Mus musculus: one gene and its partner. The protein of the gene in region 1 interacts with the protein of each later gene in a pairwise test. Links are inferred from orthologs where the notes say so. Each region holds a gene or a part of one and is shown on either strand. Other genes may lie near its edges.

Region 1 (4,333 bases):
GGTGTTCCCTGCCTTCTGGGGTCACATGCCCGATGACATAAGACTCTCTCGATTGTCCCCATCGTGTACAGGAGCTTCTACTTCCAAATGGTACGAAAACTGGGTGAAAAGCCTTTATCATATAGGACTTTGCGGATACTCATATCCAAATGATAGCCTATGCTATGAGGCAGACTTAGAAGACAAGAAGAGATGGAAGACATAGGAGAGCTACAGCCTAATAAATAGGTTCTCTTCTGCTAGGAAACAGAAACTGAGATCAGGAAAACAGAAAGGTAATAGCCTAAACAAGAGGAAGAACAAAGTATGTATGCATGTCTGAATGCCAGTAAGTATGATCTATCAACAACAGGAATTGCCAAGTGCTTGTTGTGGGTCAGGCACTACTGTTAAAGCTGTATGGACAACTTTACCTTATACCAGCCCTATCATACCAAAAGATTAACTTGTCTACCTGATAACTGACAGCAGGGCCAGGATTTGAACCCAGGCAATACGGCTATAAACCCCTACTCTTTTACTTTGAAATTATACTGTAGATGGAAAGAGTATTGAAGCTGCCTCTGCCTCCAGGTCCTAGTTGCTGGCAGATGCCCTGCAGTGACTGCTATAGTGAAATGACAAGCAGGCTGCTGTGATTCTATAGTCATAAAGGCACAAATGTTTTCCCTTTCCTCAGTCCAGGGACCCAGAGGCAAACTGACTACAAACACCTACGACTCATGAACTACATGGGCCTCCTATCTGTGTTTCTCAGAAACCTGCAAGAGGGGGAAGAATCCTGCTGTGTCTTCTGGAACTTACCTTTGTTCAAAATCCTTGCTGTGCTCTGTGTGTTGTTAATAACTTAATACTAATCTCTAACACATAGGGCAAACTGAGTCAGACCGAACCAAATCGAACTTTCGTCACTATAAATAGAACGCCATGATACATGAGGCAAAATTAAAAAAAATCAAAAGCCAGCAAACAAGCAAGCCTTCCCGGGTTTTCCCCCAAGGCATGGTTTTCTAAGGAACAAGAGACATGTTCTTGTAAGTTATACAATACCATATACCATATACCATATACCATATACCATATACCATAGCGCTCTGCTCAATAAACACTGGGTGCACTAAGACCGTATTTCTTACATTAAGAAAAGGCTAATATCAAACGGTTCAAACTGATATCTTGTGGACTGTGCTGGGTTGTTTTGTTCACTGTTGGGGAAGCCTTCCAATCAGGTAACACATAGTTAAGTCTTAAAGGATACATATACGTTAACAAAAAAAAAAAAAGTAGTAAGGGGTTCACGTTGGCTAGTTTTATGTCAACTGGGCACAAGCTGTGGTCATCTGAGAGGCAGAAACTTCGGTTGAAAAAAAATGCCTCCATGAGATGGGCTGAAGGCATGCCTATAGAGGAGTTTCACAGTGATTGATGAGGGAGGACTCTGCTCGTTGTAAGTGGTGCCACCCTGAACTGGTGGTCCTGAGTTCAGGCTGAGCAAGCCAGAGGGAGCAAGCCAGTAAGCAGCACCCCTCTATGCATCTGTATCAGTTCCTGCCTCCAGGTTCCTGCTCGCCTGTACTCCTGTCCGGACTTCCTTCTATGATGAGCAGTGAAGTAGAAGTAGAAGCAACATAAACCCTTTCCTCCCCAAGTTGCTTTCTTTGGTCATGGTGTTTCACCACAGCAATAGTGACCCCCCACCCCCCAACACAGACCAAAGTCGTTTATTTGATCTGCACAACACTTAGAACTCAAGCCAACATTTTTGAATCAGGAAATTTCACACAGAATATGACTTTCTAAGTGTCCCTCAAAAAAGCAGAATTTGACACTGCGTCTATACCTCCAAACAGCAAGAAGAGGCTAGAGACATGTAATGAGATCTCTAGTTGAGGTATATGGTGGTCCTAGAGTTTTCTTTGTGGTTTCCTCAAAATATGGGCCAATCTAAAATGCTAGGTATTCAAAAGTCTTTGACAAATCACCATCTGAAACCACCCACTTCTCCTTCTATACTTGAAAAACATCTTCAGCTTCTTTTTTGTATGTGGCTATTTTCTGTCTTGATAAATTCAATCACAGCTCTTGAATCACAGGTTATTTTGCTGATCTGGCACAACACTTAGTATGAAAAAAAAATCTGTATTTCTATGATGACCGTCACCAAGATTTACTAATAAGGGATGACAAACATGTCTGCTATCAATGCACCTTGATTCTGATACATTGCTTCTACTTTCCTCGTTCTCCATATATAGGGATGGCCACCAGGGACCTGTGTCCTATATGCAAAATCTCCCTTTCAGTCGTGCCTAATTTCAAGGTTTATAAAGAATTTGTGAAAAGCCACTTATTCCAAGACAATAATAGTTCAGATGCTCTGCATTAAATATTTCCTGTTTTATTTTAAATTGAGACCCCTTGGCTAGACGAAAGGTTAGTAAAGATATAATTTTGTGGACTTCCCCTGAGTCTTCTGCAGGGCTTATCAGTTAGTATCGAAGCTGTTTATTCTTCTAGTTCGCTAGTTCACCATTTTCTTAGCACTAGAAGGCATTTCATAAGCCTGCGTCCTGTTTAACTGAAAGAAAACCCATGTTGCCCCAGGGCCCATTTTCCTTAAAGAAGAATCATTTCCAAGAGCTCCCACCTCATAACGTCAAGTAAGATAGGCAAGGACAACTGCCCAAAAGAGTGCCCTTTGGGGTGCCTGACAATTCCGGTAGAGCAGTCCTACTAGCACAGAGGGGCCTCTGACTTTCGCGGACTGGGTTAGGAATTAGCCGCCTAGAGCTCCTGGCCGAAGCCCCACCCCGCGGCCCGTGACCCCACCTCGCCTGCTGTAGACCGCCGTCCTTACCTGCGCGCCACACGGCCGCGAGCAACAGTCTCCTTGAGCTTGACAGCCAGACATGGTTCTGACTCTGCTCCGTTATCTGTCCCGCGCTCGTTCCAAGTCTGAGCGGCCGGCAGAACGCTATTAGGCGACAGAGCGGGCAGCCTGGGGGCGGAGCAAGAGTGAGAGGCGGAGTCTGAGGGGGACCTCGTCCCTTTGGAGAATCTGCGGCGGCGCAAACCGGCCGGTGGGCGTGCCCGTGAAGGTTGGAGGCGGTGTTAGAAGGACTAGTCCTCCAGTCCAAGGCGGGGAGCGTGCGCTGTGGGCGGGGCCAGCCCATGCAAGGCGGGGCCTGGACGGGCCTTGAGGCCGCCAATCTAGTTGACTTGCGAGCTTTCCCGGAGAAAGCCGGGAAGATGGCGGCCTCCTGGAGGCTTCACTGTAACCAGCCGCTGCTTCGGTACCTTCTGGGATTTAGCAGCCGTCGAAGCCTGGGACTGGCTCAGGGTGCTGCTGCTTGGCCTGTCGACCGTGGAGCAAGTTGGAGGTGGTTTCACAGTACTCAGCTGCTGCAGGGTGAGTGGCTTGCGCTCGCTCCACTTCTCTCTTTAGCTGAGCAATGGGGCCTGGGTCAGGGGCTTTCTTGATTGGGGACACGGTTTGTGAGGTTAAGTGCGGACTCTTCCTGTTCCTTTCAACCTCCCCCAGAAACGGGCCTGCTGACTTAGCCTATGGCATGCGGCAAAAGAACTGTCTTCAGACTTGGGAGAGCATGGTTCCGTCCTTGGCCTGCCTTCAGGGCTACATGGCTTCTCTGTGACCTTGCTTTAGAATTTGAGAAATTTCGATGTCACCTAGGGAGGGTCTGTTTTAAATCCCTCTATTTTAGACCCTTATCAATCACATGTCAAATTTCTTTAATTTTACCATTCCTCTCTAATGTAATATAGCTGCCCATACATTCAAAGCCACTATTACCCATACTGATTCATTCAAAGGACCTGTCCCTATTGGAAAACTTTAAATCTTACTGCACTTAATGTATGCAGCATACAAGACTTAACTTAGAAAATACAGAATCACAGACATTGCTAGAATGTTTCAAGTAAAATATGTGGCATGAAATTCATACAGCCTATTACATAAAATTGTTCTTAAGCAGTGATATTGAACTCGGAGATATACCCACTGTCCTTCCGTTATTTAACATACAGCATATAAAATGGCAGACCTGGCATTATTCTTCCTTACGTGTATGAATATGGGCTGGGGGTTAGGATGGGGGCACAGAAAACAGTTTTAGAAACCATTAGACATTTAAGTAATCATTCTTACCACCACCTGGTACAGTAGGCCTAGCCCACACTTTCTGAGCTGTCTGAGGCCACAAAACAAAACAAAAAAAAAGAAAAAGAAAAACAATAAAATCCGTGTGCTGAGATTTCTAAAGAGGGGCTAATAGGGACAATTTACCTAAGTCATTTTTGGAGTAATGTTTAA
Region 2 (4,558 bases), on another chromosome or scaffold:
ACATATGTGAACAGGTAATTTAGTCCCCATGCCACCTGCTTCTATGGTCCTGCCATTTCTCCTAAGCTCATACACATGAACTCAGGCAGGGGCTCAATTGCAATCTAGTTCCTTTATGAGTTAGCTCATGTCAGGATAAAGAAAAGCATGCTGCTGATCTGAGGGATATTTGGGAGGGAAAGCCTCCATGGAAGCCATACCCTTTTGTAGAGGAAGAAATGGCCAATCCTGCTAGGTAGGTAGTAATAGCTCATACCTTTAATTCCAGCACTTGGGAGGCAGAGCAGGAGGATCTCTGAGTTGGAGGCCAAACTGATCTACAGAGCAAGTTTCAGGACAGTTATAGCTACATAGAGAAACCCTGTCTTGAAAAAAGAAAGAAAGAAAGAAAGAAAGAAAGAAAGAAAGAAAGAAAGAAAGGAAGGAAGAAAGGAAGGAAGGAAGGAAGGAAGGAAGGAAGGAAGGAAGGAAGGAAGAAAGACTTGTGCTAAGTTCTGTGGGCTAGGCTGGGGGAAAATGTTTTTGATGACTGGTCAGGACCTTGGTGAAATACATACAATTAGAAGGTAAAAAGATTTGGAGAGGATATTTCTAAGAGACTGCTCTTGAAGTAAGGTGATCTAGATCTTATGCTGTAGGCATGAGGAAGCTCAAATTACAGGGCAGAGGGGGCTGTTGTGGCAGTAACCATGGTGGAAGGACTAGGGTCCATCTCCTCTCCCCGGGGCTGATCTAAACACAGTGCCTCCCATCCACAGACATTTGTACTGAGCTCTCAAAAAGGGTATTCCTCAGGAAGATCTACTGGTCATCTCCTGAAAGGCTCAAGTTTTGCTTTCTGGGAAAGACAGTTTATAAGCACTCATACTTCCTTTCTGGATTTCAGGTTATTCCTATTTCTGTCTTTTGAACCAAAGTGGGGGTGGAAAGGAAAAGTATTGAAGCAGCCTCCCCCAATACTGTTAATTAAACATTTCTATGCTGTTATAAATCCCCTCACTCGCCAGAGCCTGGAGATAAAGACCAGACAATTTTATCAAAGGATCTTCTGCAGGTAAGAGGGCTAAGCAGCTCTCTCAGGCAGCCTCTGGGAACCTAGCTTTCAATCGGTCATTGTTATCTAGCCAAAGGCCATCTTTTCCTCTGGTTTATCAAGAAGAGGGGCAGCCTGTGGGAGGGAAGAGGCTAAAGGAGAAGTGTGAGGAGGGAAGGCTGGAACTGAGAAACAGACAGCGGTTTCAGTGCAAGCAAGGGGGGTGCCCATAAAGGCCCCAAAGAATGAGGCTTCTCTGTAGTTCTCTTGCCACCTACAGCACCCCCACGTTTTTCTTCTAAACAAAGGTATCCGTTTCAGAGATAGCAAGGGAATGGCTCAGTTAAAGCAGGGAACCAGTCTTTAAAGAGAGACAGAGGAAGGAGTACAGACATTGGGGCTGATACATTTAGAACCTGGGAAAGGGGTGAAATAGCCTCTCCTTGAGACCAAGGCCCTGAACTCTCTTCAGGAGTCCAGGGAAGCTTCTTCTTCAGACAGGATCCTCTTTTCTCAGGGACACACCTAGCAGACAGGTCCACTAGACACCTCGCCCTCGGACATTGGCATTATCTGGTCTCAGGGACTCAGGCCCCGCCCTCAGCTCCCTGCGCCGACTCCTGAGGCCCCCTGCCGCTCCCGCCCGCACCCAGCCTCTGCTTCTCCCACGCGCGTGCGCCCCTTCTCCGCACACCTCCCCCGCTGTTGCTGCGGGCGCGCGCGCGCGCGTTCCGGTGTTCCAGGCAGGAGCTGGAGACAAGCGACCGGCTGTGGGCCAGGCTCTGAGAGAGCGCCGTGAGCTAGAGAAGCGGGACCCTGCGAGGCTACAGCTGGCGTGGGCCTGGCCGCCTCTCCGTCGGCGGGCCGGGCCACGTCGCCAAGCCCAGAGGCTGGACTCCCGGGGCTGATGGCCATGGGCGGGAGCTGGAGACGACAGCGGCAAAGGCAGCGGCAGCGGCCGGCCCCGCGGGCGGGGAGCCGTGTGGCCCACGGCCCCTGACAGCCCCTGACGGCCCCGGCGGGCAGGCGCGCTCCCGCGCCTCCTGGGGTGGGGGGGCCGTAGCCAGGCAACGCCCGGCGCGCCCGCCCATCCCCCGCCGCCCTTTTTTTCCCCTGGCTGGGTGCGAAGGAGCATGCCTGTGTCTGGCCTCGGCCAGCAAAGAGTTAAGTCGAGAGGCTTGGAGCTGCCTTCCTCTTGGGGGCGTGCCCCCCTCCCCCGCTAGGCGGCTCGGCCCCCCGGGGTAAGGTATGGCCCCGGGCCCAGGCCCGGGACCCGTGGTCCCACGCACTGGCCAGTGAAAGATACCTTCCTCTTCCCGCTCTCCTCTTTCCCTCGCCGGCCAGCATCATGGGATGTAATATGTGTGTGGTCCAGAAACCGGAGGAGCAGTACAAAGTGATGCTTCAGGTAGGGCGCCTGGGCTGCTGGGGAGAGGGTCGCAGCCGGACCTAGGAAAACTGTAAACCCCGAGGGGGAGGGCCAGGTAGAGTCAAGAAAGGCAGGTGTGGGAGGGCGAGAGGGCTCGAGAGAAAAAGGTAGGGAGCTGATCTCGCCCTCAGATTATGGGTTGCTGGGTGCTGGCGCCCTGTGGGAACCATCCAGGGATGGAAGGAACTGGGTGAAGAAGATATGTAGGTGTTCAAGGCACATCACCTGGCACTCCGAGTGCGTAACGACCACTAACCATGTGTCCAGATCAGCCCAGGTGGGAAGTTAAGATTCTGTCCCGGGACAGTGAGGCGCTCAGTGGCCCGCGCGGGATGGAGGTTGCATAGCAACGGTCTGGATTCCCGGCACATGGTCCCAGGGTTGGAGCCTGACCCAAAGAAGCAGTGAAGTGCCTGCGGGACAGAGGCCGAATCCCGGGCCTGGCAGGCCAGATTTAAAACGTCGTCAATGGAGCTGGGTTTGAGTACCCATTTTCCCATCCACTCTCTAGACTAAGTCACGACTGTCGATTTCAGGGCCTCAGGCATTTTGGGTGAGTGGGTGACGCGGGGATCGATCGGTGGTGCCCAGCACGTGCTCTGCCTGTTGGCATCCGCTTTGGCCTGTTGGGCCTTGAGGACAAGGAGGGTGTTGAGAGCGACGCGTGCGGGGCGGCAGGAGATACCCTGCTGCCCGCTTGCACCTTGAGCCACCTTCTCAGCCACGAGTGGGGTTTCCTTGCCTGTGCGTGGCGTGACTACGTGAGTGCGTGCCTGTGCCCCGTCTGTGTGTGCGCCGAGGCTTGCCAGCCCCGCGCGTCTATACTTTCTGTGTGTGCACCCTGAGAGTACTTTAGTGAAATGTGTCCAGGATGATGTGCACTGAAATATACTAGGGCTGAGTGTAGAGAAAAGAGGGAGTCGGGACCAGGAGCCAAAGTGGGAGCAGACAGGTGAGTCTAGTGACTTGTGCCCCAGCTATTGAACTTGTTGATCAGAACCAGGGAATTAGTGCGCGCAGGTGTTGGCTGGGGGAGAACCTGTAGGTTCCTGGATGAATAGAGGAAAAACCTTCAGGAACGTGGCGGGAGTAGAAGGGGAGATTGTGTCAATCATAGTAGTGTAGTGGTATTGAGGTGGCCTCGGGAGCCCAAAATTTTTGCTGTGATCTTACCTTCTCTATTAGAAAGAATAAGAGGTAATGTGCAAGAGAGGGTGGGCATGGAGGGCCAGGTTGGGGGTGGTCTTGTCCAAGCCTGCTGGCGTTTCTGGTCTTCTCTATTTGACTATGTGTGGTCTCCTGTTGTCTGCACAAAGCCAAACAGACCACATCAGTGTTGTTTCTCCTCTCTTGTTCCTACTGTTTGAAGTTCTCACCTGCTCAATGCCACACCTATTGGAATAAGACTCTGAAATTAAGCCGGGCAGTGGTGGCAAACGCCTTTAATCCCAGCATTTGGGAGCCAGAGGATTTCTGAGTTCAAGGCCAGCCTGGTCTAGAGAGTGAGTTACAGGACAGCTAGGACTACAGAAAAATCCTGTCTCGAAAAACAAAAAGCAAAACAAAACAAAAAAAGAGCCGGACAGTGGTGTTGCACGCCCTTAATCCGGGAGGCAGAGGCAGGTGGATTTCTGAGTTCGAGGCCAGCCTGGCCTACAGTGTGAGTTCCAGGACAGCCAGGGCTATACAGAAAAACCCTGTCTCAAAAACAAACAAACAATCTGAAATTACCTAGCTCTGGGTACCAACAAAATAGGTTCAGCAGAACCCATTGGATTTCAAAACTAGGACTGCCTCCATTGAGGTTTCAATGGGCAGGAAGGCTGAGGTGACCCTAGGTAAGAGAGTCCCTGTGTTCAGCTCCCATGGGATGCTACTTTTTTAAAGTTTGGACACAAACTTTCATTTTCCTGGTTCTCCTTGACCCAATTAGAGACCAGATGTTTTTTAAAGGAAGAACTATCCTTTCAAATAAAGTAAAAACAAAAGGAATGAATATAGAAACAATATATGGAAAACAATGAGATCTATCAGGTAGCCTGAATGAATAGCTTATGGGAGATGAATACTCATATAGGCCTCAAGGAGAGTTTCCT

Evidence for each region.
Region 2: the proteins of Apip (region 1) and Pdzd4 interact in a two-hybrid assay, tested with the Homo sapiens proteins (2 studies listed by BioGRID and IntAct). The two-hybrid records come from large-scale screens. The link is inferred for Mus musculus from reciprocal best matches to the Homo sapiens genes APIP and PDZD4.

The regions. Positions count from the first base shown.
Region 1 is NC_000068.7:103,072,366-103,076,698, reverse strand, and holds the start of Apip (methylthioribulose-1-phosphate dehydratase), read right to left. Parts: upstream 3,025-4,333; 5' UTR 2,912-3,024; coding exon 2,858-2,911; intron 1-2,857. Other genes in the region: Pdhx (pyruvate dehydrogenase protein X component, mitochondrial), read left to right, coding at 3,250-3,409. UniProt on the Homo sapiens protein: Catalyzes the dehydration of methylthioribulose-1-phosphate (MTRu-1-P) into 2,3-diketo-5-methylthiopentyl-1-phosphate (DK-MTP-1-P).
Region 2 is NC_000086.7:73,822,165-73,826,722, reverse strand, and holds the start of Pdzd4 (PDZ domain-containing protein 4), read left to right. Parts: upstream 1-1,753; 5' UTR 1,754-2,381; coding exon 2,382-2,441; intron 2,442-4,558.